Rhinolophus ferrumequinum: one gene and its partner. The protein of the gene in region 2 purifies or fractionates together with the protein of the main gene of each other region. This does not show direct contact. Links are inferred from orthologs where the notes say so. Each region holds a gene or a part of one and is shown on either strand. Other genes may lie near its edges.

Region 1 (12,962 bases), on a different chromosome or scaffold from region 2:
GGGTTGTGTGACAGGCCCTCCAAAGATGTTCACATCCTAATCCCTGGAACCTGTGAATATGTGACCTTATGGGGTAAAAGGGAGCTTGCAGATGTGATTAAGGATCTTGGTATGGAAAAATTATTTTGGATTCTACAGGTGAGCCCAATGGAATCACAGGATCCTTATAAAAGGGGGGATCGGGTAAAGGGCTAATATCCAAAATATACAAGGAACTCATGAAACTCAACAACAAAAAAACAAACAACCCAATTGAAAAATGGGCAGAGGACCTGAAGAGACATTTCTCCAAAGAGGACTTAAGAATGGCAAACAGACATATGAAAAAATGCTCAACATCACTAATCATCAGAGAAATGCAAATAAAAACCACAATGAAATATCACCTCACCCCAGTTAGAATGCTTATCATCAACAAGACAAATAGTAACAAGTGTTGGGAGGCTGTGGAGAAAACGGAACCCTCATACACTATTGGTGGGAATGCAGACTGGTGCAGCCGTTATGGAAGTGTGGAGGTTCCTCAAAAAATTACGAATAGAATTACCATATGACCCAGCAATCCCTCTCCTGGGTATCTACCCAAAAAATCTGAAAACATCTACACATAAAGACACGTGTGCTCCAATGTTCATTGCAGCTTTGTTTACGGGGGCCAAGACATGGAAACAACCAAAATGTCCTTTGATAGATGAATGGATAAAGAAGTTGTGGTATATATACACAATGGAATACTATTCGGCGTTAAGAAAAGATGATACAGGAATATTTGTGACAACATGGATGGATCTTGAGAGTATAATGCTAAGCAAAATAAGTCAGACAGAAAAAGCAGAGAACCATATGATTTCACTGATATGTGGTATATAAACCAAAAACAACAAAAGAACAAGACGAACAAATGAGAAACAAAAACTCATAGACACAGACAATAGTTTAGTGGTTACCAGAGGGTAAAGGGGGCGGGGGGTGGGACATGAGGGTAAGGGGGATCAAATATATGGTGAAGGAGAACTGACTCTGGGTGGTGAACACACAATGTGATTTATAGATGATGTATTACAGACCTGTACACCTGAAATCTATGTAACTTTACTAACAATTGTCACCCCAATAAATTAAAAAAAAGGGGGGGTCGGGGTCAAAGAAGGAGATACGATGACAGAAACCAGGTTGGAGTGATGTGGGGCCACAAGCCAAGGAATGCAGATGGTCTTTAGAAGCTGAAAAGACAAGGAATGGATTCTCCCCTAGCGCCCCAGGAGGAATGCAGCCTGGCGGCCCATTTTAGACTTCTGACCCCCAGAACTGTAACCGAACAAATTTAGGTTACTTTAACCCACTATGTTTGTGGAAATGTGTACAACAGCAATAGGAAACTAATACAAAATTTAACCTCATGATTCCAAAATGCCTTAGACTCAAGCAAGGAAGCACTTACAAATGGCAGAAGGCAAGCTGAAGGGATAAGGAGAAACATCCAGGGCAGGAAGCTCTGCAGGAATAAGGGAAAGGCAGAGACGGGGACATGGGTCCTAGGGCTGTGGAGTTTGATGGAGGCTGGCTTCCCTTTAGGCTGCCCACATAAGCCACTTCCTGTATGTAATATTGGCTGAGGAGGGTCTGACTTGGGCATGAGGGCCCCACAGAATGGCTGCTGTCTGAGGGTCAAAGGGATGGAAGGTGAAGAAACGAGGGTCTGGAATTGGGGAAAGTTCACTTTTCCTCCAAGTTCATGTTGTACAATTTTGTTGTGTTGATTTTTTTTTTTTAAAGATTTTTTATTGGGGAAGGGGAACAGGACTTTATTGGGGAACAGTGTGTACTTCCAGGCCTTTTTCCAAGTCAATGTTGTTGTTCTTTCAATCGTAGTTGTAGATGGCGCAGCTCAGCTCCAGGTCCAGATGCAGTTGTTAGTTGCAGGGGCGCTGCCCACCATCCCTTGCGGGATTCAAGGAGTTGAACCGGCAACCTTGTGGTTGAGAGCCCACTGGCCCATGTGGGAATCGAACCAGCAGGCTTTGGAGTTAGGAGCACGGAGCTCCAACCGCCTGAGCCACCGGGCTGGCCCCGTGTTGATTATTTTTTAAGCCAAGAATTTGGGCAAGTCAGAGCTAACAGAAGGCTGACCAACTTTCCCGGTTTGCCCAGAACTGAAGTGTTTTCCAGGATGCAGGAATATCTGCTTTACTACTGAGTCCCAGGCAAACTGGGATAACTTGGTCACTTTAAGCTTATGATCTAAAGAGGTTTCCCCAACTGGGGTAGGGGTCACAGAGCCACCTATATAACACCACCAAAATGTGAACATGTATAGAAAGAAGCTGAGAGATTGGAAGAGAGAAGAGCCAAATGATGCTAGATCACGGAGATCTCCAAAGGGAGAGACTGTGGTCAGACGAGGAGCAGTTCTGAGTGCTAACAAGATCCTAGGGGGCTGTCACAGAGTGAGGGGCCAGTGTGTTTGGAGGGTCACCCCTGTGAACCCTGAAGACACCAGGGCTTAGGGTCAAAAGGAAGGCTCAAGCCATGTGCTAACGTCCTTAAGAAATGAGGGGGCCTGGCTGGGAGGTCAGAAGACAGCTCGTGGGGGAGGAGAAGAGGGATGGCAGCCAAATGACAGGAGCCTCAGAAGAGCCAGGGTTTTATGTAGGAGTAGCGAGTGGTCTGGAAGCTTCAGGGGGCATAGACGGGAACATGACCACATGACTTCTGGTCTTTTCAACTCAAAAATTCTGACTCATACGCAGGTGAGGATAGATCCTCTTACTGTGAGTCCAAAGTTGGCCGTGACCTTTGAGGGCACTGCATTCTTGGCAGGACAGGGACTCCTTGTTGAAAAAACTGCATCTTGACTATTTCTCTGCCTTAAAGCAATTTGCAAATGCACAGAATGCAAATGCACAGAAAAGGCTGAAAAGTATCCCAGTGGGCACTACTGAGTGTCCCTCTGGAGAGCCCCTCTGGACCAGGCATGAAGCTGAAGTGAGGTTGGGTTGGAGTACTGACTGCTTGCGCTGGAATCCTGATCCCACCACTTATTATCTGGGGTCTTTCCGAAAGCCCTGTGACCTCTGTGCCTCAGTTTCCTCATCTGTAAAATGGAGAAATCAGACCTACCCCAGAGGCACTAAAAGCACACTCATTGCATCATCGTTACCATCTGCAGAGTGTAGGAATTTGCAAAGGGAAATGGGGAAGACTCTGTCCTATGCCTCCCAATCTCCATTCCTTGCTTCTCCCCTGATAACAGAAACCCAGCTCTGCTTGGGGATGACAATATGCTCAGCTCAGTCCTCCCTTTTCCAGCCTCCCCTTGCAGTAGCCACGTGACCTAGTTCTGGTCAATGAAGTGTAAGCAAAAACCTGTTGGGGAGAAATGAGGTTTAGGGGGAAACTGCTTTCCTGATAAAAGGGAGAAACAGAGGTTGGTACCCACATTCCACCTTCTTTCTGCCCTGGATAGAGGGGTGATGTTTAGAGCTGTGGCAGTGATATGATAATTGTGGGGCAAATGCCACTGCTCTCAGGGTGGTGGAGAAGACAGACAGAAGTGTGGGTCCCTGAAGGCAGCTGAACCAAAGCGGTGACGCCTACCCTTGTTCTTGTTATGTACGAAAAATAACTCCCAATTTGCTTAACTATTTTATTAGGGGTTTATGGTTTTTTGTAGCTGGACATGTTTCTAAATGACATAGGGGCTTAGTGTGCTTCCTATTTAAAAGAGGCCCCTTCGAAAGCACAGCATACTTTAGAATCAGGTCACCTGCTTCTATCAAGTGATTTTCAAAGAAAGGAATCAGGTACTAAAGGACCTAGCATGAACCCCATTTTTCTTTTCCAAATAGAATTTAAAGGGGGGGTGGTACCAAATAGGAACGGCAGGAGCACCATGAAAAGGTGTGTCTGAGGGCACCAACGGGAGGCCTTGCTCAGCAAAGGGGAGCTGCCACCCTTAGAGCTGAAACGTAAGCAGATAAGACCACTTCCCCAAGCTTGGCCCCAGCCCAATCTCTGCTGAGGATGAACCACTGGACACAGAACAGGGGAGCTGATCCTGCCAAGAGTCATTTCACCTGGCTATTTAATGGCTCACTCATAAAAAAAAAAAGTATCAGAGAGCCTGTTCTGAATTATGGTCGTGGTCAATAATGACGTTTGTGTAAGACTGCTATTAGTCTCTGATGCTAACCATACGGCATCCATCCAAAAGCTTTTCAAACAACCTTAAGTGAACTAAATGGTTGGATGTGGTAAGCTCCTCTGCTTCCCCCCTCCGGCTCTCCACCTCCAAGGAGAGTGGGCAGATTGGAATAACGAGCTCTAAAATCAGTGTCTGGTTCCATGTAAAAGCAAAACTGAGAAAAGACACAACAGTGATGGAGAAAGCCAAATAATGAAAAAACAAGACAGTTTACCCTAGGCCGCGCCCACAAGGGCTCGCTGTGCTTGCCACCACTGACACCCCCCTCCACCGGCTCCGCCTGGGAATGGCAAGAATTCGATCAGTTTGCATCTTGCAGGCAGGTGATGACCGTAACTGGTCCCCGATCCTTCCTTGGGAGGCCAGCGTCCAGGGGCTGCTACCATCAGGTGCCCCGGCCCAGAGGCGGCTCTGTAAGGTGCCGGGAGCCTGCGAGGGCCGCCCAGCTCCTGCCCCACACGGGCGCGCCTGGGTGCTCGGGCTACTCCCAGCGCCTCACCTGGAGCCGGGACACCCGAGGCCCGCATCCCGCCCCGGGCCCAGGCCGCCCGCAGCCCAGATCCCGGGAGCCCGGTCTCGTCTCCTCGGCCCGCCTCCCCGCGCGCAGCCCCCGCCCCGGCCCGCACTCACGCTCCACGTCGTGCAGTTTGGCCCGCTCCTCCTCCAGTTTGCCCTTGAGGCTCTCGGCCTCGCTCTTCAGCGACGCCAACGTCTCGTTCTCATGCAGCCCGTCCGTGGCCATCTTCGCGCGGGGACGCGGCAGGGAAGGAAGCCGAGAGCCGGGATGCGGGTGAGCTGCGGGAGGAGGCCGGGCGGCCACAGGCGCAGCTCCAGCCGGTCTCCTCCGCGCGCGGCCCCGCCCTCCGGCGCTGACGCGGGTGGCTGCGAGCCCGGCTGCTGGGCCGACCCCACCTCCCCGCGGGCGTCGCCTGCGGGCACAGCGCCCCCTCGGCGCCCCCCGCTTGGCACACGGGGGAATAGAACTAGGATTTGAACCCAGGAAGTCAGAGATCAGAGTTCACACCCTAACCCCCCACCCATGCTATACTGCCTCACCTAGTCCAGCTGCGCTGAAAACGTTTGTGTGTGTAAACTGCTTCTATAACAACTTATCCGTCACTGGACCCTCACATGAGACATCATTTTAAGACAGGCAACCACTTGAATTTTTAAAAAGTGGCACTTACAATTTCTGCACATATTGAACAGTAGCTGAGCTGTTGAGATTTCTTGAAAACTGGTCTCAGAGCCCTTTGCTTGAAACATTTGTCACAGGAGCCAAATACATTAACTAGAAACGTCTGATCACACATCTTTTACCCAAGATGAAGCTGGAAAAGAGAGAGAAAAAAGGGATGTAAGTGTGTGAGAAAAACCAACAGAAACAGCTTTTTTAAAGTTCGTCTTCCTGTTATCATGGTAGTTGCTCAGACCTCTACATGTAGGATAAAGTATATGCAGTTAATTTGTAAACTTTGATTTATTACAACATGCTGGGTCAACACCAACTCATTTATTTAATCAGCAAGAAAGCGTCAGACAATAGGTTTTCTGAACTTACAGTTAACCAGTTGTTTTGGCAGCTTGCAGACAAGGACACCTGGATTTTTGCAGCACAGTGTTAACCTGTGGGGCTTCAAAACAGAAAGCATCTTTGTAATGAACAGTATAATTAAAAAACAAAAAACTCCTCTCATCAGGGTGAAATTTTGGAGTAAAGACAAGAGTCAGAAAATGGTGGAACCTGACCCCAACCAAAGCCATGAGGCTGAGTAAATGTGTTGGTTCCCTGCCCGGAATGCAGCATCCCACTTACTTGGTAAACATTTGACAGCCACAGACCCAGGGTCCCTGCCTAACACCCGGAAGTTGACAGGCCCAGGCCACTGAAGGAAGGGTAACCTGGAGAAAGCAAAACCATCTTGTGGCTGAGGATGCTGTCTCTGGCTGGCCAGATCCTGGCCGCACTGTTTAGGCAAGTTACTCAAACTCTCTGAATCTTCGTTTGCTAATCTATCAAGTGAGGATCTTAAAAATCTATTTCATAGGATTGTCAGGGGAATTCTAAGAGACAGTGCATGAAGCACTTGGCTCAAGGCCGGAATATAGTGAGTGCTCCAGAGATGTTATGCTGCCCTGTGAGTGGCTGTAATAGCAGCAGCAGCAGTAGCAGCTGCAGCAGGAAGGAGGGGAGGGGTGGAGCGGGAGACGCGGAAAGAGCAGAGAGGAGCCTATGGCTACTTCTTCCAGGCAAGAAGCAAGGAAGGCCTGAACTAAGCATTGGTGTGGGATGGATGTGGACCACACTTAGGAAGGAGAAGGAGCTGGACTCGGAGACATGTGGAGACGAGAGGGAGATGTCTATGGTATCTCCTAGGTTTCTGTTCGGGAGGCTGAGGGGTCAGGTGCCATTGCTGGAGATGGAAGACGAGGAGGTGAAGGTGGAAGGGAGTGGCCATCGTAGACGTGCCAATTGAATAGGTGTTTCAAAGAGTGGGCCACGTCAAGGTTTAAAGAAATGACTTCCTGAGTATAAAGATATTTGGGGGCACTGATTTGTATATTTCAACAGAGCCACATTTTCAAGGATGTATTTGTAAGGCAGGATGTATTTGTAAGGCAGGTATTCCGCTGAGGGGAATATCTGTCATGCTGAGGTCACAGTGGGGCTGCAGGGAGAATGTGAAGATCATGAATTGGGTGAACTCCTCCAGCGAAGGGGCAGCTGGCATAGTTCTTGAGAACGCTAGGTAACAAAGGAATAGAGGACAGTCCCTTGTAGGTGAGAGAGCAGAAGCGATCAGCTCTGACCTCTCACAACCACCCTGAGAGGGAGGCAGGACATCTGTGTGACAGCTAAGGAAATGCTGTCCAAGGGATTCAATGAGTTCAAGGTCAGCGGTGGAGCCTGACTCTGTATGCAGTGGGACTCCACAACCCCTACTGTGGAGCCAGCACCACCAAGCTGCTCTGTTTTGTCACAACTGAGTTCAAGAACACAAAAGAGCTGGTCCACTAGAGCCTGGCCCGTGGTAGAGGTCCAGTAATGTTGCCTCCCACTGCCCGAGCCTGCCCAGGCAGCCAGTCACAAGGTTGTGCTGAAGACTCCAAGTAATCGCATTAGGAAAGTGAGCCATGGGTTTTTTAGCAAGGGAGCCACGTCATTTAAGTGGATTATTCCAGCATTTGTGCTTCTAGAAGTAGGTCAGAGACAGACTGTACAGCAGGAAAATCAGCTAGGTTAAGAGATTATTATCACATTGTGTGGAAGAGGAAATGAGCTCTGGACAGAGTAGCAGCTGCAGGAATAGAAGGCGAGAGGAACTGAGGGAACCAGTGGGGAAGGAACAGAAGGATGGCTGGGAGTTGTAGGAGATCAAGAGAAAGAGAAGCTGAAAAAATTGCTAATATTCCAAATCTGGATAGAGACAATGTTTTCATTCCCAGACTGAATTAAAATTTTTTTTCAAATTATAAGAGCTGTACATGTTTTCATTATAAATGATTAGAAACAGAAAGACACAAAGAAGGAAAATTAATCACCCACATGCCCTATACTAACAAATAATTGACCTCTGTTAGCATTTTGTGTCTTCTTCTCACATCTTTATAGGCATATATGTATATGTTTTTTAAAAAATTGGAATTATATGCCATATACAATTTTGAACTTTAGTATTTTGCTTAACAGTGTTTTCTTCTTCACATGTCATTGCATATTCTTGGAAAACACCATTTTTTAATGGAGACCACAAGTTTTGAGTCATATCAACCTTGAATCATATCACATTTTAGATCTGGTTGGTTACACATGGGCAAGCTACAAACCAAATTTGAAAGATTATAGCATTTTACAACCATAAATGTTATGGTCATGGTAAATAGTCTGGAAAAATGAAAAAGGTATAAGGAAGAAAAGAATCACCTATGATCCCTGCCCACAGAGACTCCTTTTCACATTTTGGCACATGCAAGATTTTTAGGACCATTGCAGTTACACTGTTCATGTATACTCTTATATCTTTTCATCCAGATATTTTCCATTTAATATTTATATCATGAGCAAAATTTCATTTTAGACCATTCTATTGTACTTATTGTCAATAATCCTCTTTATGACGAGGGAACTTTTTACAGAGCAAATACTTCAATAAGCATTTTGACAAGAAAAAGATAAAAATGCCTCAGTTTAATAAGTTTTTACACAAAGCTGCTCTGCAGAAGTTTGTAGAACTTCTCAAACCTTCTGCTTACCCTGCACCAAACACAAAATTTATTTGAAATGTTTCACCTAAATATATGGTTAAAAATTACCAAAAAACCCACCACCCCATATTTATTTTTAAAAGAGTCAATGCCAAATATAGAAAGTCAAAAGGGAAAAGTCCCCGTTACCTGTTCCGCATCTACTCTCCTTATTTAGTTTGGTTCATATTCTTCCATATTTTCTGACACCATAGATACAGCTTTGTTAATTATATAATTGGGGCTGTTAGCGACTTGTTTTTTTCTCCTACCTTATTCTGTTAGCACTTATAGAGCTGTTTTTTTTTCTTTTGGTCATAACTTTAGTATTATTCTATACTATGGAGTATCATAATTTATTAAACAAATCTCCTATTTTTAGATATATAGAGTATCTCCAGTTTTTACTTTTAAAATAATGCTTCATTAACCCAATTAAAAATGAGCAAAAGAACTTTGCTGGTGGGAATGTAAAACGGTGCAGCAGCTGTGGAAAACAGTTTGGCAGTAAACAGAGTTGTTACCATATGACCCAGCAAATCCACTTGGGTTTATCTAGGCATATACCCAAGATAAAACTTATACACAAATGTTTGTAGCAGTATTTAAGCCAAAAAGTGGAAACAATTTAAATGTCCATCAACTGATGAACAGATAAATAAAACGTGTTACATCCATACAGTAGAATGTTATTTGGCAATAAAAAAAGAATGAAGTTCTTGTTACAATGTTGTTACAACATATGTATATGTATATGTTACAATATGGATGAACCCTGAAAACATTATGTTAAGTGAAATAAGCTAGACACAAAAGGCTACAAGTTATGTTTCCATTTATATGAAATGTCCAGGATAGGCAAATCCACAGAGACAGAGAGTAGATTAGAGGTTGGGAGGGGGAGGGCAGGGGGAAATGGGGTGTGGGGTTGGGAACACTGCTTAATGGGTATGGGGTTTCTTTTTTGGGGTTATGGAAATGCTCTGGAATTAGATAATTCACATCCTTGTGAATATACTAAAAACCACTGAAATGTAAGCTTTAAAATGGTGAGTTTTATGTGTATTATATCTCAATAAAAATTATTTTTAAATGGGTAAAAGACTTATTGAGACACTTCACAAATACAGATATTCTTGTAGTCAATAAACATAAAAAGGTGCTCAACATCATTAGTCATCAAAGAAAAGCAAATTAAAATCACACTGTGGTATCACTACTTACCCACCAGTATACCTAAAATGGAAAAGACTAACAATCTGAAGTGTGGGCGAGGATGTGAAGAACTGGACCTCGTTCCTTGCTGGAGGGGTATAAATTGGTAAAAAACAAACAAACAAAAAACAAAAACAAAACAAAAAACGAATGTCATAGCAGCTTTATTCATAATAGCTCTAAACTGGAAAAACCCAAATGTTTACCAACAGTAGACTAGATACATTGTGATATGTTCGTGCAATAAAAAAGAATAAACCACTGATACACATGACAGTGTGGCTTTATCTCCCAAACTTATTATGACTATATAATATTTACGTCAAAAACCTCTTTCAAGTCAGTAAACTGCACTTGGAGGCTTATGTTGACATGTAAAGTGTTACCTGGATCAATTTTTAAAACTGATTAAATGATTTCAAGATGCTTAACTTATTCCCTAATGCCAATACTAAACATATTTTAAAAACAAAACAGCTTCTTCCTTGGTATGTACACATCTGAACACTTACCTGGGCATTTCAGAAAGCCTGAGTATTAATTTAATGTTAACACATCCATACCTTCCACAGACTCAACACTTGGAACTGATCAGCAGAAAGGCGAGAAGTTAGAGCTGCAGTTGGAAGGTGACGGTGGGAAAGGGACTGATTGCATCCTGTCTAATCTCCTTATCTGGGCATTACAGCGCGGCTGCTTCATCCCTGCCACCCTGCAGCTCCGTGTTCACTGCTGGGGCACTCACTGCGCTTTGCGTCACTTACCCCTTGAACCTTCTGCCCATCTGTGCTGCCAGGTGCCCTCAGAACCCCTGTGGGCCAGTTTCTTGAGCTCAATTCTCTGCCCTCAGTGGGAGGCAGAGTTCAGAGGTTTGCCTGTGAATCCACACCCTGCTCCACCGAGCAATCCTGATGTTCTGTTCACCTGTGACTGGAGGTTATTGGCACCTCCCACCTTCTCACTGTCCTCAATTCACCCGCACCTCTTTAATGTTGGCCACCGTGCCCACCTTCAGCTTTGTAGCACTGATCAACACTGTAACCCCCACTACCCCATGTAGAGAGAACCCCCACTACCCCTTCTCCATGCATACGTTTCTTAGCTTCTGCAGGTCCCCTTGTCTTGTCCCCAAACAAGATCCACTCCTTCCCAATGCTGACCAACAACCCCCCCCCACTCCCCCCCCCCCCCCCCCCGCCTCCTCTTCCCAAACCCTGCCCCCTCAATAGTACCGGGCTCCTGCACTTCTCTCCACCTGGCCAACATCCATCGAGATGAAGGCAGGGATGAGTGAGATGTGGACCTGCTCTCCAGAATCTCACAGGCCAGTGGGGGAAATGGGGAACATGACTGATTTACAGCCCAGGGTAAGTGCTGGCCAGGTAAGCTCACCCAGGGCGAGAACCTGGAGCTATGGTAGCCGAAAAGTAAGGGTGATGGGCTCCTCAGGGCATAGGGGAAGTCTGGAAGGAGCATGGAGAAGGCCGTGGTGCAGATCAGAAACCCAGCCGACTCTCTGAAAGTATCCTCTCATTCTGGCAGCCACGGAGACACCGCCTGAGCTAGGACTTAGGGCATATTTACTCCTCTCTAAAAATTCTTATATACGTTTTAAGAGATATAATGACTCTATAAAGATTCCATCTGTAAGTATGACCCATAGAGAAAGGCATAAACTTGTGCACTTAAGAAAAATATAATCTCCTAGCAATTAAAAGAATCTGACCCAATTCATACGGGAATTCATTTTATTGATTAAACTATTACAAGGTCTACTTTTCATTTCTTCATATACAGTGTATCTAAATGAACTAAATTAAATCATTTATAATGTGAAAAGACATTATTACATACTACTAGGGTGATCATATATTATTTCCACTGCTAAGATAAACGTCTGTGTTACAGAAGCACGCCGATTGCCTGTGGCTTTCAGAAACAGAATTGCCAGTTGGGATTCATGCGGTGCTGCAGAAGGGCGCTTGGCCCACCGGCCACAGGCAAGGAGGCTTATTAAATGATGTTTTATGCTCTGAAAGGGAGGAGTGGAGGGTGTGGAGGCCAAAGAATAGTCAGTTCCCATAAAACTTGGGAAACAGTGACTTCTCAAAAGGAGGAACCTGATACAATTCTTCAAGTACTTTTCTGAGAAAAATGTAAAACATATTTGAATGCTGATAAGATAGAGAAAATCATTTAGGTTGCTTTTTTAAGCTTTGTGTTTTAAAAAGTTATTGTATGGAAAATAGTAATGAAAAATGATGGCAAATATGTTGGCAGACAAGATTTAAAAAAATGTTCTTTCAGAGCAGATGATAGATGTAACAATTAAGCTTTAACATTATATTCGTTTTAAATATATATACATACATAAATACTTCATATGGTTCTTTTCAAATTAAATATTCTCTTAAAAATCAGAGGGGTCTGAGATAATAAATACTTCTTTCTGCAGGACCATTTTTAGTAAAAAGAGTCGGTAAATTCAGTCGGTAAACCGAGGCATGGGCTGAGAGGCCTTTTGGTAGGCCATCATGGCCAAATGGAATTATTTCCTGGAAGACTCGCCCCTGGACCCCGCTGTGGCTTCATAAATATTCCTGGACTTCACATGAACCTTAGAAAACTTGGGAGACAGTGTCCCCCTGGATCTTATGCCCTCTGAGTGGTGCCCTGTACAAGATAGATCTAGACCAAGAGGCACCAGGAAGAAAACATGAGCCTTCCAGGAATTCTAGTAAAAGCCAACTGAGATTCCAAGGCGACAGCGTGGGTGTGTTAAGTTTTACAAAACAACAGCGGCCACACCCTCACAGTGAGTGACAGAAGATGTGGCCCATCTAGGAGAATTCTTATTTTCTTCTTTAAATCACATCCTAGAGCATTTCCAATCCCAATGAATAAACCACATCCCCATACTTGAACTTTATTTAGCTTTAGAGGTAAAAGTATTCTTTCTTCTTCTGCTATAATCTATTGAGAAAGCCTAGCTTGAAACTGCTGGGGATCTCGATCATTTCCAGAGCATGGGGAGAGGCGGTAAAAGGAAACGTGACTTGAAAGAGATATTTGGTATCCAACATCAGCTGTGATGAGTCCTCTCGACTGTTTAGGAGAGCCTAAAATTAGAACCAGAGGAAACGTGAATAAGGAAACCAGTGCATTCAGCTTTATGGCTACCTGGAAATCAAAAGTAAGGAAACACCACTCTATCTCCAGTGAAACACCCCTTTCAAAATCATGTGAGATAACACACAAAAGAGCTTTTAAATAGCACATTTCCAAGGTGAAATAGTCT
Region 2 (10,954 bases):
AATGGACACACAGCACCAGGGAGGAAGGGGGATGGCCACCCAGAAGGGTGTGTGCAAGGGACTGTGGGTGTACAAATGGCATGCGTGAACAGGCTTTATTTTCCCTAAGGGTTATTTGTGCATCTTTTTGCGTATCGGTGAGTGTCTGTTTATTGTGGGCTCATGTGTTTCTTAATGGCCTTGTCTAGTGTGCGTGTTTGGTGTGGAGGGGCTTCCCGGTACAGGGGAAAGGGATGGGTTTGGAAACTCACCACCAACATTCACCAGTTATGGTGTGACACTGGAAAATGACTTCCCCTATCTGAGCCTGATGTCTTCGTCAAATGGCTGCCTTGCCCTTGTCTGGCTGTTGTGTGACGATTAGAGATGGAATTCACCCTCGCTGCCTCCAGGAAGGCCCCCAGCAGCTGCTGGTGTTATTAGTCACTCAACAAACCCTAACACACTTGCTGTATACGAAGGGCTGGGGTTGCAGAGGTGCTCAGAGGGCACCATCTGATGGGGGTATGTTCTCAAACGGTGTGCGACAAGTGATAGCAGAGGAAGGTTAGAGCTGGAACCTGGGCAGGCAGGAGTTGTTCCACACACAGCGAGGGCTCCCTTCTGGGTGGGTATCCATTAGAGGACAAGGCTAAGTGGGCCAGGAAATGGGGCTGCGTGGGCCTCTCCCACGCCTGCTGGCCAGTGTCTCCGGCTGCCTGCCCAGGTCTGCATCTGCATATGCTGCTGCTGTCAGCTCGCCCTTAGCCTGTGGCTTCTGTCCTCCTGGCCCTGCCCTGGGAAGGGGCTGGCCCCACCCCATCACACACACACACACACACACACACACACACACACACGCAGACTGCCAAGCCTACCCTTCCATCTGTGCCCTCTCACTGCTGTGAGAAGCTGCTGTGTGTCCATCCTGAACAGCCCTTCATTGGCAGGTCACAGCACTTACAGCCAGAGGCCATTTTTTCTCAGCCCACCACCCTTTTCACCACCCCAAACTGCTTCCTGCCCGTGCTCCAGGGGGCTCTCCTTGGATGTCCCTGCCCTGCCTTTGCCTGGGCTGCGCCCCTCACCTGGAATACCCTCCCTTCTGTCCTTCTCCTTCAAGTCCCCAACTCCTCCAGTCCCTCTTGAGCACACCCATCGCTCCACACCAACCTCAAGCCCCAACTGGCCAGGTGACATCTCCTCTCCGGGCCTGTTTGCTGTGACTGTAAAATGGGGATGAACAGAGTCCCTTTGACAGTTACCTAAGAATTAAGTGAGATGTGGCACGGAAACAGGACTCCCCATGAGTGATGGCCATGACCGTGGCTCGGTTGGCTCTGAGCTACGTCTTCCTGATCCCCTCGGCAATGCCAAGCACTGCTCTGAGCACTGGGGTGCAGGGTGGAAGGAAAGACAGCCTGGGAGGGGCAGCCAATAGTCCTGAGTGTTGGGGGTGAAGTGGGAGGGGCCTGCAGAGAGGAGGCACTTCCCTAGGCGGTTACCTCTCTGCCCCTTGGCCAGGCACTGACCACAGAGCTGACCTCCCAGCAGGAGAGGGGGTGGCAGGAAAGAAGAGCTGGTTACCAGAAGCTGGTGTTGCAGTGTCATACCCCCTAACAAGATTATCTGTGTTTGCATGCAGGGGGGCTGGCTGTGGGGAACCTACCCTGTCCCTTCTGGCCTCCCCTCCCTCCAGCCTCTGTCATGACCAGCGTCTGTGTCCAGGCTTACCCAGCTCCCCTCCACCCTACTCCAGGCAGAAATCTCCCCCCTACTCCAAGTCAGCCAGCCTCGCTTGCTCCTCCTCAGCTTCTATTCCCCAAGACCAGGAATTCCAAAAAGGAAGCTCCAAGATCCCAGGGCTGAGAGGGTTAAATCCCAACATCTAAGCTCAAGAAATTCTTATACTTCTGAAGTGCTGGACAAGGGGGCAGGACCCCAGAATCCTGGTCCCGCAGGTTTGAAAGACTCCAGAATTCCAGCCCTTCACGTCCTGGGATTCTAGATTCCTTCACATTTCAGGTTGTAAGATGCAAAGATGCTGGGTTGGAGAAATTCCGGAATCCTCCCGGCAACTTCCCTCCCAGCATCCCTTCCCACCCTGCCACACCAACCCCCAGCTCATCCTTGGCTCTCTCTGTCCCCTGTCTCCCCCGGGGCTCCCACAGACATGATGCAACCAAGCCAGAGCCGGCTGAGAGGTGGGAGGCAGGAGGGAGATGTAATTACAGCTGCTCCTGTCTTAATTCAACGGGAAGCTCAGAGTTCGGGCCCAGGGGATCCTAATCCAAAGTGAATAATGGAGCACTTACCAAAACTGTACACAGCTGCCTAGAGGGAGGGGAGACTCAGTGAGCCAGTCTCCATCCAGATCTAGGGAGCAGGGGTGTTAACCTCCAGAGAAGAGGAGGTGGGGTTTGGGGTGGGGAGGGGGTCATGAACTCAGTGGCCCTTGGGCCAACCAGGTAAAATAATTAACCAAACCCACAGCTCACTTAGTCTGTATTTCCTCATTTTCAACAGTCATTTCAAGACATTTCACCTTTCTCTTCATTCCACTGTAAAAAGCCCCCAACACAGGCTCCATAATAAATAGCAACTGGCCCTCTGCCTCCTCAATTGAGAGACAACAGGGCAGGGTGGGGAATTTGACGAGCTGGAAAGCCCAGGTCCCATCTCATAGCCTCCGGTCACCCTGTGGAGTTGTGTAGATATGAGGTCACCAGACCTTCCAGTTCAGGGGAAGCTAGAAGTATGGACTCCTATGTGAACTACTGTTTTTCAGTTTGGCAACCAAATCAAGAACATTTTTAAATATTGTGTAGGCCAAAAGTAGAAAGCAAAAAAATTATATAACTGCAGGCTATATATGAGTATGTCCTGTGGGCTACCAATGTGTGAAATGGGAAACACGGGGCAGGAACCAGAGCTGTCAGTCACCCATGTGTCCCCAGATCAAAAAAAAAAAAATTGTTGAAGGAATATACACATTAATTTGTCTCCTCTCCCTCTAGCTACACTTCTCTCTTCTCTGGGTGCCAAGTTTTATTACCACCATATACCAGCTCAGATGTCTCCTCCTCCAGGAAGCCCTCCCTGACCCCCAAGCTGAGTCACAGGCTCCCTCTGAGCTTCCCCACCCCAGCCCTGCCCACTCAGAGTCATCGCTATCTGGGGACATGTGTGTCTCTTTCGCTGGATTCTGAGCCCCAAGAGGGCAGGGCCAGGGCTGTCTGGGTCACAGCCACGTCCCCAGCTTCAACCAGCACAGGGCAGGTACTCAGGGAGTGCTTGGAAGAATGAACAAATGAATGAATGAACAGAGTTCAGTGCTTAAGGAGAGGAGTAGGCCTGTGGCAGGGGGTAGCCAGATGTGAAAGAAAGGGGTGGATTCATTTAGGGATGAGAAAGGTGGGAAGAGCACACAGGGGCCCCAAAGAGTCTCCAACCCAAGAGGGAGGAAGGAGAGGAGAGAGCCCTGCTGAGGGGTCCAGGGAGCAGTGCAGGCAGAAGTCTTCAACCCATTACCTTCTATCTGTGTGACTTTGAGTAAGGGACTTCCTTTGGCTCCCTTTCCTCATCTGTAAAACGGGTATTATACAAGTAGCCAGATGCTTCTGGGGCTGTTGGGACGATTAACTAAATTCAGGATTGTGGAGCCCTCAGTGGGCTCCCATACACCTCTGCATCCACACACCCCACATAACCTTACCCCCGCCCCCACACACACTCAGAAGGGGTGAGAAGGGACACAGGTTCCTCCACGGTGAACCCATGCCCTGCGCGTGCCTCAGTTTCCCCGAAAGCACAGGCACCACCACAGTTACCACGTTTATTGGATTCATACTTTGGCAGGGGAGGGTAAGCTCTCAGGAAGGCTCAGAGCAGGATGCAAAAGAGGCGCTTGTCGCGGAAGGGATTCTCTGCGGCCGGTACCGGCGTCACCAGCGGGTCGTCTTTGGCATGCGTCTCGCAGAAGGCCAGTAGCTCCGCCGCCGCCTGCGATACCTGCGGGTGCCCGGGTGATGTTCACGCCCCGCCCCGCCCAAGGCCCTGCCCCTTGCCCGGACCCCTCCCCGGGTCCAGCCTTGTTCGGAGGGGATCTCACCCCGCCTCCGAGGCTCCGGGCCCCACTCCCAATAACTCCAGGTCAAAACCCAGCCCTGAGCTCCCGCCTTCCTCCCATCCCGACCAGGCACCTTCAAGCGGTCGATGTTCACTTCCAGCTTCAGCTGTTCCACAGTCTTGCGGGCCTCCGCGATCTTGGCCATGTTGTTGGACATGGCTGCGGCGGGGAAGGAGTTAAAGGCCAGGCGGGAGTGGGACAGGCTAGGGACAAGTCTGGGTCGCCAGGTAAGGGAGGCGGTGGTGTGGTGGCACCCAGCACCTGGGGTGTGCGTGGAAGAGGCTGGTGGAGCTATAGGAAACCAGGGAAAAGTGCAGGGATGGAGAGCTGCACAGACGGGGGACCTAGTGGCAGCGGGAGGGATGGACAGAGAGGGGTGAGGAAGGCAGGAGGGAAGCACAGATTCGATGCTGAGAGGCAGGTGGTGGGAGGGACAGAAGGACAGGGCCACAGGTGCTGGAGCAGGATCCAGGTGTCCTTAGCCCCCAGGGATAGGGCATGAGCCAGGAGGGGGGTCCTCCCCAGGCCAATTAGCGGTGGCTCCAGGGAGAATAAGGAATTAAGATCTCGGCGGGAGGGGCACAGAGGGGGCCTCATTAGGACTTTGGCAGCAGCTGCCCCCTCCGCCCCCCTCGGGGAGCTCCCCCACCCCAGCCCTGGCCACCTCAAAGGTTCCTCTGCTCATTAGCAGCCAGAGATAGGGCTGGGGGGGGAGGGGGCCCAATCCAGACATGACTAGGAGAGGGGCAGAGAGGATGAAAAGGGGGACAAATTTGAGGGGCAGAGGGAGAGACAAAGTGACAGAGGGAGAGACTGAGGCACAGGGGAGAGAAAGAGATTGAAGAGGGAGAGAAAGAGATGGAGACATGGGGGAGGGATGGAGGGAGTAGGCGGTGGACAAAAAGGTAAAGAAAGGGGCAGAGTGATATAGAGGGAGAGAGGTACAGAGGACAAAGGGATGGGGGTGGATGGAGAAGGGGAGATGGAGGAGTCCAGGAGGGATGAGGCGAAGGGGGTGGGAGAGGATAGAGATAGGGACACGTGTAGGGGTAGAGGAAGGGACAGGGATAGCAGAGGAGGGAGAGGAGCACAGGGGTATAAAGGGACAGAGGAGAGAAGGGACCAGGGATAGAGAGAGAGAGATGGAGCAACTGGAGGCGACAGGTTAACGGAGACACAGAAGTATAAAGTCATTCATTCACTCACTCACTCACTCATTCATTCCCAGGCAGACACGCTGACTGATGAGCACAGGGAGGAACTGTTGGGGCCAGGACCAGAGCTTCCTACCTGCTGTTGCCTAGGGCTGGGATGGCGGGCTGGTGGTGAAGGCTGGGAGACAGCTTCTGGGTCCCCCTGCCCAGCCCCGCCCCTCCCCTCCCCCTCCCCTGAGGTGCAGCCCCTGAGGACCCGCCTCCTGATGCTGCCACCGCCATCCCCACTCCCTTCGTCACCTTGGGTCTGTCTCTCTCTGAGTCCCATCTGTGTGTGTCTGTCCCCCTTCTGTCTCTGTTTCTGTGTCTCTCTCCCTATGTCTCTGTCGCTCCTATTCTCCGTGTCTCTTTCCTGTTCTCTATCTCCCAGTCTCCCCTCTTAATCTGTCTCCCTCTTACACACACTCACAGGAAAAAGACAGACTCTCAAGGTGTACCCTACACCCTGCTGCATTTACCCCACAGTTCCACAAATCTCTTCCGTGTGTCCACACAGCCTCTCACTCCACCACACACGCTCTCCCGCCGTGTCACAGCCGCCACCTCATTGTCATCCCCTCACAGACACCCCTTCTCAGCTCACACGCTCACACGCTCAGTTCCTCACACAGAGATACACAGTATCTCGCTTTGTCACACGGCGTGACCACACAGTCTCACGAACAACCTGTGCTCAACACACCATGTCCCACAGTGCCACAGTCACATGGCCTCCCAAAATGCCACACAGTCCGTGTGTCTCAGAGGGTGCCACATCACCCTCAATGACATTGCGCCCAACCAGTTAAATACACTACCTCAGATATGACAGTAAGTCACATATCCAGGGACTCCCACGTACAATCACACTCATGCTTACACAATCTCTGTCGCACACCACCTTACACATTCCCTGACACTCTGTCCCCACCCACACGCTGTCATGCACAGAATCTCTTGCTGAGCCTTACAGTCTGTATCATACACAGCTGTCACCCTCACACAGCAGATTCCCGCTGTCACACATTTACACACACAAGGTCTCGCTTGTACTTTCATCTCTGAGTGCTCTCAGAGTCTCACACTCACTCCCTGTCACAATGCTGTGCCAGTCTGTCATCTCCCACACGATCTGCGTCACACACAGTTCTCACAGTTCATCAGTGTGGCTGACACTGTCTCACACCCAGTCTCTCTGTCACACCCAGTCCCCCGGGGCCGCTCACACTGCCTTCTCACGCCATCTCTGGGTGGATCACATTCATTCAGCCTCACACATCATGTGCCCATGTGACTCACACAGAGCTCATGTCCTCACCGCGTTACACACTCTCGCACACAATCTCTCACTCTCGCATATGGTCTCTTGATGTCACAGTCCCCCAAATAGTGTCTCAGGCACACCAACTTCACGATGTCGCACAGTCACCTACATGTTACCTCTCTCATCTCACATATAGTCACACACAACCTGTAGGTATAACAAGATTTCACACAGTGACACTCTGTTACACAGCATCTCACGAGGTCACACAGCCACACACAACCTCTGGCATCACGCACAATTTCACAGTAGTACACACTCATACAATCTCTTTGTGTCACACACCATGGTTCGGTGTCACCCCCGGACACCCACAGCGTCTTTCCTGCACTCAGCACACACAACCTTCTGTCCTCTCCTGACAGTCCCCTGAAGGCCACACGAGGGCGCCCGCGGCCCACCGAACCGCCCACCCCACCGGAGCCAAAGCCGTAAAAGGAGGTGGAAATCAGGAGGGCAAGGAGCCCCTGCGGGCCCGCTGTGAGAGAGACACAGGAAAGTGGAGGGAGAGAACTGAAGATGAACCGGGACTCAGAGAGGGGGACAGAGATGCAGGGAGAGGCAGACGCAGAGAGACAGGGATATGGAGACAGAAATTTGGAGAGACAGACCTAGGGACTCAGAGACAGGGACAAGCAGAGAATTGCAGACAGAGACACAGAGACTTGGGAAGGTACAGGAAAGACACACAGACAGAAGTGTAGGGTCGGAGACAGGAACCGAGACATACAGACTCCCAAACAGGGACAGGCGGGCAGACATACAGACCGCGCCTTCCACAGGGGATAGTGGCGGAGGCGGGGCCTACAAAGGTGCGTCCAGGGGTGTGGCCTCGGGGTTTCTAAGGGGAGTGGTCCAGCGCAAGGTTTGGAGGGGCGTGTCGAGAATGTGGGCGTGGCCTGGGTGGGGCGTGTCCCGACCACCCCAGACTGCTGCGGGAGGGGCGGAGGCGGGAGCCCTGGGAAGAGGTGGAGGTGGGGAAAGGAGCGCCTCTACCGCAATGAGCCCATCTCAATTCGGTTTTTACGGCCTGGTCTGCGAAGCGAGACCGACGGGGAGGAGACACCAGCCCAGATCCGTGGTGTAGCGATTTGATAGGGAAGTGGCGGACCCTGGCTTTCCTCCTCCCCTACTTCGCCCGAGCTGCAGGGCCAGGTGGGGGAGGGGAACCAGGCTCACATCTGGAAAGCATCAGGCGCGCCGGACATGCCAGGGCCCCGGGCCCCGCTGCGGAAGCGGGGAGGGGAGCTAGGGCGCCCTAGTCTCCCCCTTAGCAGGGTCTGCCGGCGCCGGGGAGGGGCCTGGGCGTGCGCCCAGCCTCGGCGCCTCCCGCAGCTGGTTTCCATCATCAGTGCTGGCCCCGACAGCCCCCAGGAGGAAACCTAACTAACAGCGGGGGTGGACAAGGTGACGACCCAACCTCCCTTTCCCCTCCCCGACGGCGGCCAGAGGCTGACAGACTGACACTGCCTGAACCAAGTGTAACCTCCATTTCTCTCCCAAGCTGTAGACCTCAGCCCTTTTTCCACCCTACGCGTGACCTTAGTTTCCAGGTGTGCAGTCCTGCTCTGTGCTGCACAGGAAACGCCCTTGCCTCATGACAACCTAGTAGTCAGTGGTATTATTTGTCCCCATTTCTTGGGGGGTAGGGGGGAACCAAGACCCTGGATTCGGATTCAACTCTGGCTTTAATCATTCAAGAAACGTGCAATGGACGCCAACAGTAATTCTAGGGCCAAATACCCAGTCGCTTGCTGTATATTCCCACCTGGGTATCTGGTGAGATTCTCAAAATCAATGCATCCAAAACTAAGCTCTGGATTTCACACACCAAACCCACTCCTACAGCAGTCTTACCCATCTCAGTTGATAATAAATCTTTGGGGTCATTCTTGACACCCCTCGCTCTCTTGCACCCCACACATGATCTAGCAATAAGTCCCATTAACTCCATGTTCAAATTCTCGCCACAGTCCAATCACTTGTTACCTCCTCTGTTGTCCCCACTCTGGCCCAGCCACCAGTCCCTTCCACGTGGACTAGTACAGTCACTCCTCACTGGGCTCCCAGCCTCCACTTCTGTCTCTCTCAGCCTGGTGCCCACAGAGCAGCAAGAGTGACCCTGTTTGAACTGAAGTCCCCAGAAAATAGCAAGTGTTAGTGAGGAGATGTTGGAACCTTCAGACACTGCTGGTGGGAAGGTAAAATGGTGCAGCCACTTAGGAAAGCAATCTGGCTGTTCCTCAAAAGGTTAAACAGAGTTACCGCATAACCCAGAAATTCCACTCCTAAGTATCTACCTACAAGAAATGAAAACATCTGTCCACACAAAAACTTGGACAGGGATGTTCATAACAACATTATTCAGAATAGTCCCGAACTGGAAACAACCCAAATGTCCATCAACTGATGCATGGATAAACTAAATGTGGTCTATCCAGATAGTGGACTATCATGTGGTGATTGGAAGAAATGAAGTTCTGACACAAACCATATAACATGGATGAACTTTGAAAAAATATGCTACGTGAAAGAAGCCAGACACAAAAGACCAGATATTGCAGGATTCCATTTATAGGAAATGTCCAGAATCGGCAAATCTATAGACACAAAAGTAGATTAGTGGTTGCCAGGGGTTGGGGAAATTGGAAGACAACAGCTAAGGATGCAGTTTCTATCTGGGATGATGAAAATGTTCTGGGATTTACAGTGGTGATAGCTGCACAACTCTGTGACTATACTAAAAGCCATTGATAAGACATTGATGAAATAAATTGAAGAAGACACTAATAAATAAAAAGCTATTCCATGCTCGTGGATTGAAAGAATTAACGTTAAAATGTCCATACTACCCAAAGCCATTTCCAGATTCAAAGCAATCTCTATTAAAATTCCAATGGTATTTTCCACAGAAATAGAACAAAACATCCTAAAATTTGTATGGAACCACAAAAGATCCCGAATAGCGAAAGCAGTCTTGAGAAAAAAAAGAACAAAGCTGAGGGTATCACCCTAATTTCAAACTATATTACAAGGCTATAGTAATTAAAACTGTATGGTATTGGCATAAAAATAGAACAGAATAGGGAACCCAGAAATAAACCCACACATATGTGGTCAATTAATTTAAGACAGATGAGCCAAGAATATACAATGGGCAAAAGAAAGTCTCTACAATAAATTGTTTTGGGAAAATTGGACAGTCATATGTAAAAGAATGAAACTGGACCACTATCATACCGTACAGAAAAATTAACTCAAAATGGATTAAAGACCTGAAGCCATAAAACCCCTGGAAGAAAATATAGGTGGTAAGCTCCTTGCCAGCAGTCTTGGTGATTATTTTTTGGATTTGACACTAAAAGCAAAAATAAACAAGAAGGACTACATCAAACTAAAAAGCTCCTGCACAGCAAAGGAAACCATCAACAAAATGAAAAGACAATCTCCCAAATGGGAGAAAATATTTGCAAACCATATATCTCATAATGGATTAATATCAAAATATATAAAGAACTCGTACAATAGCAAAAACCCAATCTGATTTTAAAATGGGCAGAGGATCTGAATAGACATTTTTCCAAAGAATACATACAGATGACCAACAAGTACATGAAAAGATGTTCAACATCACTAATCAAGTAAATGCAAATCAAACTCATGAGGAGCTATCCCCTCACACTTGTCAGAATTGCTGTTACCAAAAAGACAAGAAACAAGTGTTGGTGAGGGTGTGGAGAAAAGGGAGCCCTGTGCACTATTGGTGGGAGTGTAAATTGGTGCAGCCACTGTGGGAAACAGTATGGAGGGTCCTCAAAAATTAAAAATAGAACTACCATATGACCCAACAATTCTGAAGAAAATAAAAACACTAACTTGAAAAGATATCTGCACCCCTATGGTCCTTGGAGTATTATTTACAATAGCCAAGACATGGAAGCAACCTAAGTGTCCATTGATGGGTGAATGGATAAAGAAAATATGACACACACACACACACACACACACACACACACACACACACACACACCATGGGATATTATTCAGCCATAAAAAGGAAGGAAACCTTGCCATTTGCAACATACCATTTGCAACAACAGGGATGGACCTTCAGGGCCTTCTGCTAAGTGAAATAAGTCAGACAGAGAGAGACAAATACTGTATGATCTCTTTCATATGTGGAATCTAAAAAAACAAAATTCTACCTCATAGATACAGACAACACATGGGTGGTTGCCAGAGGCAGGTGGTGGATGAGCAAAATGGGTGAAGGTGACCAAAAGGTACAAACTTCCAGTTATAAATTAAATGTCATAGAGATGTAAAGTA

The links.
Region 1: the proteins of GNG8 (region 2) and GNB5 purify together in Homo sapiens (co-immunoprecipitation; 3 studies listed by BioGRID and IntAct, with this or other methods). This does not show direct contact. The link is inferred for Rhinolophus ferrumequinum from reciprocal best matches to the Homo sapiens genes GNG8 and GNB5.

What each region holds. Positions count from the first base shown.
Region 1 is NC_046289.1:55,792,130-55,805,091, reverse strand, and holds the start of GNB5 (guanine nucleotide-binding protein subunit beta-5), read right to left. Parts: upstream 5,083-12,962; 5' UTR 4,947-5,082; coding exon 4,835-4,946; intron 1-4,834. Other genes in the region: MYO5C (unconventional myosin-Vc), read right to left, coding at 12,631-12,783. UniProt on the Homo sapiens protein: Enhances GTPase-activating protein (GAP) activity of regulator of G protein signaling (RGS) proteins, such as RGS7 and RGS9, hence involved in the termination of the signaling initiated by the G protein coupled receptors (GPCRs) by accelerating the GTP hydrolysis on the G-alpha subunits, thereby promoting their inactivation.
Region 2 is NC_046298.1:42,777,887-42,788,840, forward strand, and holds GNG8 (guanine nucleotide-binding protein G(I)/G(S)/G(O) subunit gamma-8), read right to left. Parts: upstream 4,577-10,954; 5' UTR 4,266-4,576; coding exon 4,182-4,265; intron 3,991-4,181; coding exon 3,862-3,990; 3' UTR 3,816-3,861; downstream 1-3,815. UniProt on the Homo sapiens protein: Guanine nucleotide-binding proteins (G proteins) are involved as a modulator or transducer in various transmembrane signaling systems.